Linked DNA regions of Neurospora crassa OR74A. The protein of the gene in region 1 interacts with the protein of each later gene in a biochemical or structural test. Links are inferred from orthologs where the notes say so. Each region holds a gene or a part of one and is shown on either strand. Other genes may lie near its edges.

What was found.
Region 2: the proteins of NCU03479 (region 1) and NCU06314 form a complex in vitro, tested with the Saccharomyces cerevisiae proteins (3 studies listed by BioGRID). The link is inferred for Neurospora crassa OR74A from reciprocal best matches to the Saccharomyces cerevisiae genes YSH1 and CLP1.

Annotation. Positions count from the first base shown.
Region 1 is NC_026502.1:550,790-555,316, reverse strand, and holds the start of NCU03479 (endoribonuclease ysh-1), read right to left. Parts: upstream 2,818-4,527; 5' UTR 2,492-2,817; coding exon 2,342-2,491; intron 2,270-2,341; coding exon 2,172-2,269; intron 1,778-2,171; coding exon 1-1,777. Other genes in the region: NCU03480 (hypothetical protein), read left to right, coding at 3,474-4,527. UniProt on the Saccharomyces cerevisiae protein: Component of the cleavage and polyadenylation factor (CPF) complex, which plays a key role in polyadenylation-dependent pre-mRNA 3'-end formation and cooperates with cleavage factors including the CFIA complex and NAB4/CFIB. Has endonuclease activity.
Region 2 is NC_026504.1:2,943,484-2,947,766, reverse strand, and holds NCU06314 (hypothetical protein), read right to left. Parts: upstream 3,079-4,283; 5' UTR 2,419-3,078; coding exon 1,809-2,418; intron 1,738-1,808; coding exon 1,471-1,737; intron 1,374-1,470; coding exon 1,111-1,373; 3' UTR 631-1,110; downstream 1-630. Other genes in the region: NCU06315 (inositol hexaphosphate kinase 3), read right to left, coding at 3,852-4,283. UniProt on the Saccharomyces cerevisiae protein: Component of the cleavage factor IA (CF IA) complex, which is involved in the endonucleolytic cleavage during polyadenylation-dependent pre-mRNA 3'-end formation. Associates with HRB1/CF IB to form the cleavage factor I (CF I) complex.

The DNA.
Region 1 (4,527 bases):
CAACACGGCCATCACGGCATCAGCAATGCCGTCGTTGAGCATGTTGCCTTCCCACTCTAGTTCTACCTCGCCGCTGGCACGGTAGCGGACGGTGACGCATCCCATGACCAGGTAAGCGGCTACCACGTCGTCACCGTGGGGCAACTCCTCATCAGCTTCTTCCATCTTGGTATCGCCGTTCTCGCTCTTAACGATCTCCAGCTTTGGCTTCACTTCGGGGAGTTCTTCGACGGCACCAAAGGTTCCTTCGAGACCCCACTTGATGAGGTCAATACCAGCGGCACTCAGCTTCAAACGCTGCTTGCACGCAATAGTGGTGGTCGTCAAGCCAGCATACTCTCTGAGATCCTCCGGAGCCATCAGGGACATTTTGAAGTCGTTTTGCACCAAAACACCAGTGATAAGCTGAGGTTCGGTAGAGGAGGGAAGAGGTCCGTCATGCCCGGTCTTGGCTTCCTTTAAAGAAGGCGGGATGGACGCAAGCTTGCCCACCACCTTGGCGACTTTGTCCGTCTTGAAAGGGATGCGAAGCTCCTCGCAGTTTCTGGGGCTGAACACCTTGACTTTGTGTTCCTTGGTCGCGTTGAGCGAAAGAAGCTTGGACTTGAGACGCATCATGTTGTGCACCTCGCCGTGAACGAGGATGACGACGGGGGCGGCGACTTCCTCGATGAACTCCCTGTTTTCCACGCCGTCAACGTGCGCAGCAAAGGAGAACTCCTGGACGGTGCAGCGACGGGGGATCATGACCTTCTCGGCGTCACCACCGGGGCCGCGGCGGGCACCGGCAATGTTGCGAGACATGACGGCTTGAATCTGCTCTGGCTCTTGAAGGAGCTGCTTGGCCATGGTGCCCTCGACGGAGTAACCGGTGATGATAACGCCGTTCTTCTCGCTCGGCGCCCATCGCTCCAGCAGCTCGCGACTGACGCCATTTTGGAGCATACCAGGGGAGGCAAGCATGACGCAGCCGCCGACGTCCTCGAAGCGGTCAAGGCTCTTGAGGGAGCGGATGAACCTAAAGTCCCATGGTCCTCCCTTGCCGGCACCGTCACCGGAGGACTCGGACTCGGCCAGACGCTCGCGGAACAGCCGCTTGATGTTGTCGTTCATGGAGCCGACATAGGTCTGGTAGACAAGCATACACTTGCGCGCGAGGTTGGAGGCGTAGTAGATGGGGTATTTCTGGTATTCGGCGTGCTTGCCCCAGTACTCGTCGAGGATGAGGAGGAGCTCCTGGGCTCGACCGAGGGCGAAGACGGGCATGAGGACGCGGCCGCCTCTGTTAAGGATGCCGGTGATGGATTTCATGAGGGCCTGTTCACGTTCTGGTCGGGGAATGTGCGAGGCGATACCGTAGGTGGACTCGGTGATGAGGACGTCGATCTTGACACCCTTGGGGACTTTGGCAGAGATAAGATGCCTGTCTTCTTCACGGGAATAGTCGCCAGTGAAGAAGATCTTGAGGCCGGCGATCTCAATCAGAAACATGGCGGCGCCAAGGACGTGGCCGGCTGGGTATGGTGTGATGCGGATGGAGGAGATGGTGTGGGTAGTATTGTAGTCGATGGCCTCGATCATGGGAAAGGTCTTGAGATGGTCCTCCTCGGTGTAGACGAGCGACGATTGCGGGTTCGACGATGTGTTGCCAACACGGACACTGTCCTGGATAAGCCATTTGTAGATAGCCTTGGTGGCATGTGTCATGAAGACACGGCCTCGGAAGTTGGTCTTGGCCAAGACATATGGTAACGAGGCGGCATGGTCGATATGAAAACTAGAGAGTGGGCAGTCAGTCTCGGCTAAGGTCTGGACCAGGTAGGCGACTATGGGCGAGGACAGTGCTTCACAGAGAACATGCAGCGCGAGTGGCAGACAAGATGGGAGGGGGAAAAGGAGAAGAGCGGGCAATGGCGACAAATTCTTTTGTATTTTCATTTCCTGAATACATGTATATGATGGACGGTACAATGCTGCAAAGCGGACAAGAACCGCAGAGACCATAGAGCAACGTGTCAGTCACTGGCGATGGCGTATATCCAGAGCCCAGCTCGATCATCAACCCATCTTGTCCCAAGCCAAACACTGCGGCACTGTCTCTCGCGGATAGACGGGCATACATATAATTGTAGGCCATGGCAAAAAAAGGGGGTGAAGGGGGTTGGGCTTACTGGCTGATCAAGAGGACATCTACTGTGCTGAGATCGAAGTCATCAAAGAATGGAAGGGCAGCTAGGCCATCATATGCTGGATGTTGGCCAGCATCAAGCTACAACAACCCACGGAGAGGTCAGCCCATGTTCGTTGGGAGGAGTGATTGATTTTGGTTGATTTTGCGCACCATAACGGTTTTGCCCTTGTACTGGATGATGTGACATGATCGGCCGACTTCGTTGCCTCCGCCGAGGTTGAGGAACATGAGTTCATCCGCTGGGTCGACCGGCTCCTCTGGCTCCGTCGCCATTGCCGAAGCCTTCCGCTTGGAAGCCATGGCTTAGGTATTCTTTTGGTTCGTTCGCTCCACGCGTAAATCCTTGCTTTCCCACCGTCGCCCTGTATATACTTGGGAACTTTCAAGCTGCTGACTGCGATTGTTTGATTGGCAAAGTGTGGCGGTTTCGATGCGATTTGAAACGCGAATTACGCACGTCAATTGCGAGATGACGTGGCTCAGTCGACGTGAGAAGAAAGACGGAATATCACGGATTAGTACGCGCCGTGAATATGGATGGCGCCCTTGATGTGATTTCGTTGATGGATGTTGAATGCGTTTTGGATGAAGATGGCAAGTGCTCGTTGAATGAAGTGAGGTTGAAGTTGGCGGCTGATTTGCCTGCCGGAAGTCCCTCTTCGGTCCCAAGCCAGCCGCACAACAACCGTCAACGGCCAAATGCCCCACTATTTTCCACCAATCTCACACGTGACTGGCTCACTCACTTCATTGTACGTACCAGACGCGACCCTTGTTGAGGTTCAGTGGAGCTCGTGCCGCCGCTAGCAACAAGCAATTGAACCTGCAGCGGCGGGCAGCAACTGGTCCCGTCGTTCTTCGTGTGCGAGAGTCCCTCTTTTCGATTTTATTGTTCGTCATTCTTTCTCCGACCACCCGACCTCGACCTCCCCTCCTCCAGTGCTTCACCCAACAATCCGATTCATAACCTCCCACCGTCGCCATCACTCCCGCGGATCCAAACGACAATTAATTGTCGACCACGACGATACTCCAACGAGCGAGAAATACATCGACCAACTCGGACACCGATCGATACGAGCGACCGGCGTATGGAAGGAGAGACACGGCGTAGCTAGAGGGGCAGCGCAGGTTCGCCTGCTTCCACTTGGGTTTACGGTGACGGGAACCTGAGCACTTGATCAGTTGGGAGCTCAGCCTCGCCGTCAGCTGGAGGACAAGGAATAGCTGCTTATTATCAACGACGACCTTCATCTGTCCACCCCAAGGGCGCCCCATCACCATGGCGCAACCACCGCAACAGCCTCAGATGCCTCAGTTGCAACAGCAGCAGCCTCAGTTACAACAGCAGCAGCCTCAGTTGCAACAACAACAACAACAACAACAACAACAACCTCAGTTGCAGCAGCAGCAGCAACCACCACAAATGTCGCCGCAGTTGCAACAGTTCCAGCTCCAGCAACAACAGCAACAACGTGCCCAGATGCTCGCTCAACAACAAGCCCAAGCCCTTGCTCAGCAACAGCTGCAGCAACGCGCCCAGCAACCTCAGCAGCATGTCCAGCCTCGCCAAATTCCCCAACAGTTGCAACAACATAGCCAACAGCAGACCCAACCGCCGCCGCCGCAACAACAACAGCAACAGCAGCCGCAGCAACGTGTACAGCAACAGGTCCATCAGCAAGGGCACCAGCAAGCCCCAACTCACCAGCAACACGCTCAACAACAACCACAACACCCCCAACATCCTCAGCAGCAGCAGCAGCATGTCCCGCAGCCGCAACAACAGCAACATCATCCACAACTCCAGCATCCCCAGGCCCAGTTGCAGCAACCTCAGATCCAACACCCTAGCCCGCCAGTCCACCAGCAACCGCAGTTTGCTCGTCCGCAGCACACACCCTCTCCGGCGCCCACCACCCAAGCGCAGTTCTCGATACCGCCGAACCAGCAGCGTCCCCAGACCGGCGCAAGTCCTGCCTCTCAGCCGGGCTCGCCTTACCTTCCCCAGAACTACGCCACTACGCCTCAGTCGGCCGCGGCCCCGACGCCGCCAGCAGCTAGTCCCAAGTTTGCGACGATACAATCGCCAGGTCTGCAGCAATACACCCAGTCCTTCACCAACGGAAGCGTTTCTCAGCCATCCACGCCTTTGGCTGTGCCTTCCCCGGGTCCGACCCAGGCCACAACTCCCGGACCAGGTCCTGCTCTTTCACACGGCGCGGGCTTGCAGATGCCCGAGAGCAGGCTATCCATGCCTCCAGTCCAACCCGCCTCAACAACACCTGGCCCAGTGACACCTGGTCTGGCAACGCCATCACTAGCTCCGCCTAATT
Region 2 (4,283 bases), on another chromosome or scaffold:
TCAGATAACGAGCTAGCCTGCGAAGGCAGGCTGACAATATGAAGTCATCATGATACACACCCCAGACTCTATACCCATTCGGAAAGATGATGCTCTACGTACCATAAGAAACTACTGTAGGACAGCGATATTTATTCCTAGTGGAGGATGTACCTCTTTCTCCAGCAAAGTGAATAACCATTGCTGATAGAGTTACGAAGTAACGTTTTTACTGACTCCCGGAGGGGAGCATGTCAATGTACAGGAAAATTTACTTGCCATGCACATTTAACGGTGCCCTGGTGCCCTTGAATCCCCTTATATAGGTAACTCGTCACGCTCACTATGTGATTCTAGCGATAAGGTGAAGGTAAATGACCTACTGCATATAATGTCATTCGTCCGAATGGTCACCATCAGTATCATAGCCTCATGGGCCAGGATAGAAAACAAGAATAGGGGGAACCAACCATAAACAAATCGGTCACGTTCTTAGACGAGTACCAAACGGGAAGACTCTATACTATGTTACAACCAGCGTAAACACATTGCACATAACTTGTTTCTATTCCTAACAACGTTTAACTTGAGACATATGTATCTCGGCGTCTTTAATTTGATCTACTTATTACTGTGGGAAAACTTGGATGTGAGCTTTGCTGATATAGTACGATTACTTTCTGAAGCTGGTTAGGAACTCTCCATTTCGAGCAGAACGTTCAAAACTCTCAAGAGACCAAAAATCATGCTCTCTACCACGAAACCCATATCAATGAGTGACTGGTAGATATGAGTGTTGCAAAAAGCATACAACTGACTGATGCCTTGCGTTTTCAAGTACCAATAACAATGTTCAACAAGAATCAAACAAGCCACCAAAGGAGAATAACAAGGTACCAAATCTGTTCCCGCTCACTCTCATGCTAGTCAAAAGACACCCAAAAGCAAGAATAACAACAAACACCTTTACATGCCATTTTCACCATTTTCCATCTCGAAGCCCAACCCAACGCCAGCCGTATCCGTCAATTTTTGCCACACCTTCAAGCAAACCCGGAGATCATTTGTCTCTTGCAGGCTCAATTGGTGACCACCATCTCTCATCCGTACCCGTATCACGTTTCGGCGAGCCTACGCCAGGAGGTTGAGATACGGTTCCGGCCAGCGTCCCCATATCAGCGGGTGGTTGCCCAGCCGACCGCTGACCGGCGACAGGAACTTGACCCGCCTGCGCTCCTGGTCCACGTCGGCGATGACGATGAAGCCCAGGACCGAGGAAAAGCGGATGGCTTGCGGCGAGTCGGTCACGGAAGCGATCATGACTGCTAGCGTCCAGTGGGCCATTTCGGGGGTGATTTCGACTCGCTCGAGGACTGGGGCGCCTTCATAGGGTTCTGTTTTGGTAAAGACAGGCGTTAGCTTAGGTGCCAGGTAGGGTGAGGTAGTTTCAGTGCAGCGAGAGAAAGAGAGTGAGAGAGAGAGAAAACTCACCGTCAGGCGCCTTGAAAACGACTAGTTCGTCGAAACTGGCTGACTGTGTAAAGGGGCTCAAGCGCGCCTTAATGCCACCAAAGAAGTATTCCTTAATCGCCGTCTCTGTAGACTTCTGCCTCCACGCCTTGTCAATCTGTACAGCACCATCCGACTTGTCTAACCCGAGGACAGTAATCGGCTCTTCAAAGCTCGTCTTCTCGCTTGCGAACCGCTGCCCAAGTTCTGTCTTTAGCTGTTCAGAGCCTAGCACCACAACGAAGTTTGCTATAGTTGCATTGTTAGCTTTCGTCACTCTTGATGAGGTCTTTCTGGAGGCCAATCAGACATAAACTCACCATCAAACTGCCTAACCGCCCACCCCAACAGCTCCTGCCCCTCTTTGTCCCCCGCCTCCACCGGCGCCGTATCAACCAACAACCCCGCCACCCTCACATCCCGATTCCTCTCAAACTTGCGCCTGGCCAACACCGCCAGCCGCTCCGTCATCTGCCTCCACATGTCCACGTCGTCCTCCACCTTCTCGTGTCCAAAGTAAAATGTGAGCGGGTTCTTGACTGGCACCGCGCTGGGACCGCTGATCGGCGTGTTCGTCACGCCAAACCCACCCGCCGGCTCCTCCACGTCCATCAACGTGCCGAACACGGCCGCACCCAGCGTTCCGGGTAGACACAGCAGCCCGTCGGTCGGGTTCAGATTGGCTACCAGCGGCTGAGAGCCCATGCGCGTGGCGAGGGCAGCGAGGAGCTTCGCCAGCGAGGTCTTGCCGACGCCGGGTGGACCACAGATCAGCACTCTTGGCCCGGGTTTTGACCTCGCTACTCCTGCTCCTGCTCCTCTCCCTTGTTGCTGCTGCTGGTGGTGTGTAGGATGTTGTTGTTGTGCCTGAGCGGCCGCGGCACGCTCGTGGTCTTGGAGGCCAAAGTGGAGGTTGATATAGCTAAGCATGGGCGACTGTTCCGGCGGGTGTTCAACCACGCGGTCCTCGAGGGGGTAGCCGCCCGTGTTGTTGATCTCCAGAGTGCATCCTTGATCGGTGAAGAGCTTTGATTTGGTGCCGGGGAGAAATGTGTAGACGCAGTTGGGCGCGAGCTCAGTGCCATCGCGCTCAGCAGTGCCGGCGACGAGGCGGACGGTGACTCCGGCGGCGGAGGAGTTCGATGAGAAGGTGCTGTGTTGGTGGGGGATGGAGAAGCGCCATTCGCCGAACGGTCGGAGGTTAATGGTCCGCTGGGTGGTTGTGGGAGCCTGGATTACCGAAAACGGGCAAATGGCAGGCGATGGTTAGCTGGTTGTGATCTCGGGTCACGAGTGTGCCTATGGATAATAATGGCTTGTGAGGAGATGGTGATGCCGTTGGATACACGTGCGCGCCTGGGGTTATACGAAGCATGTCCGCGCGAGAGCTTGGGTTCGTTTACCTGCGGGGCTATCTGACCGAGGCCTGGAATTGACATTGCGGGCTGTGTTCAGCGCGTGAACGAGGTTGTTCACAGGCTGTTGGATATGTACTTGTATTTCGTTCTCCTTCTTGTAAGGTTCTGTTTGCGTTTGCGCCGATGGGGGTGAAAGTTGTAAAGTCCAGCCGTTGGCATGCAGGGATTCCAGGTTATTGTGGCATGCAATGGAACCTAAGTGGAAGACGGGGAGCTGATGCTCACTGCAGCAAGGCCAGGGCTGTTGAAGCTGAGGTGAGTTTAGCGGCTGCGGGCAGTGGGGCTCAAACGCTGTGTACCCTGAAGGTACTAAGCGTGTCAAGGGCATTCATTGAGGTTGTCTTACTCCAGACTGCCAGGTGTAATTGTGCTTTCCGCTTCCACTTTTCGTCCCAGTTCGAGTGTTTGAAAATCGAGTTAAAAGCAGCCCGTTTTAGTACCTATTGCCTCTAACCAGCTGCTGGTGAGTTTGTCAAATTTCAGTAGCATGTCTGCCTTCATAGCAGATTTTCAAGAAAAAACATTGAAACAGTAAAATATGGCATATGGTTCCAGCGCAAGTTGTGAATTGCTGTCACAGACAACAACAACATCAACAACAACAACCACATCCAGATACTACAATTACGTTCAAGTTGTGGCAAGATCGGATAACAGCGTACAACAAAAATAAGGGGTATATTGCGTGAAAAGAATTGCCGTCCCCCTAATAGCCCGTGTGGCTGGTTCCCCTTCTTTCAATGATGTTCGTAACGGACGTCAAAAACCTCTCCTCTACCTATGCATATATATTCGTATATGCTCTCTTCCCTTTTCGTCTCTTTTCCTTCCTCTAACCTGCCCGTGACATGCTCTAACCGTAGTCTCGCAAGGTAGCCCCAATTGCAATCCCAAACGCCTTGAAATGCCGCCTTAACTCCACGATTGCTTTCGGAAACCCGCCCTTCAATCATCTGCCAGCTGTTCAAAGATCTTGATCAAACTCCGAACGCCAAACAGAGCATTCTCGTCTGGGCCTTGCCCGGGTGTCCACTCGGCATGTGCAAAGTCAATGAGTTTGAGGGAGTAGATGCGAGGAATATCGCCGTTCGAGGAACCCGACATGCTGTCTGCGTCGGAATCGGCAGTGAGTTGGATGTCTTGGGAACCAGGTGCCTGAGCCAGGTTCGCCAGTATCATGTTTTGGCCGATGGCTGCGTTGATTGGAAACACCATCTGCCCCTCGTCATCCATCTCGATGCCACTATCAACGCGAGATGCAGATAGACCTGGCGTGTACGGTCCATCATCCTTCTTGTATTGCTCTCCCGACATGTCAGCTCGGGTCCGGTCAAGGGCAGCTCTCAACGCGTTGCCGTCTCCTTCGAATGTGAACAG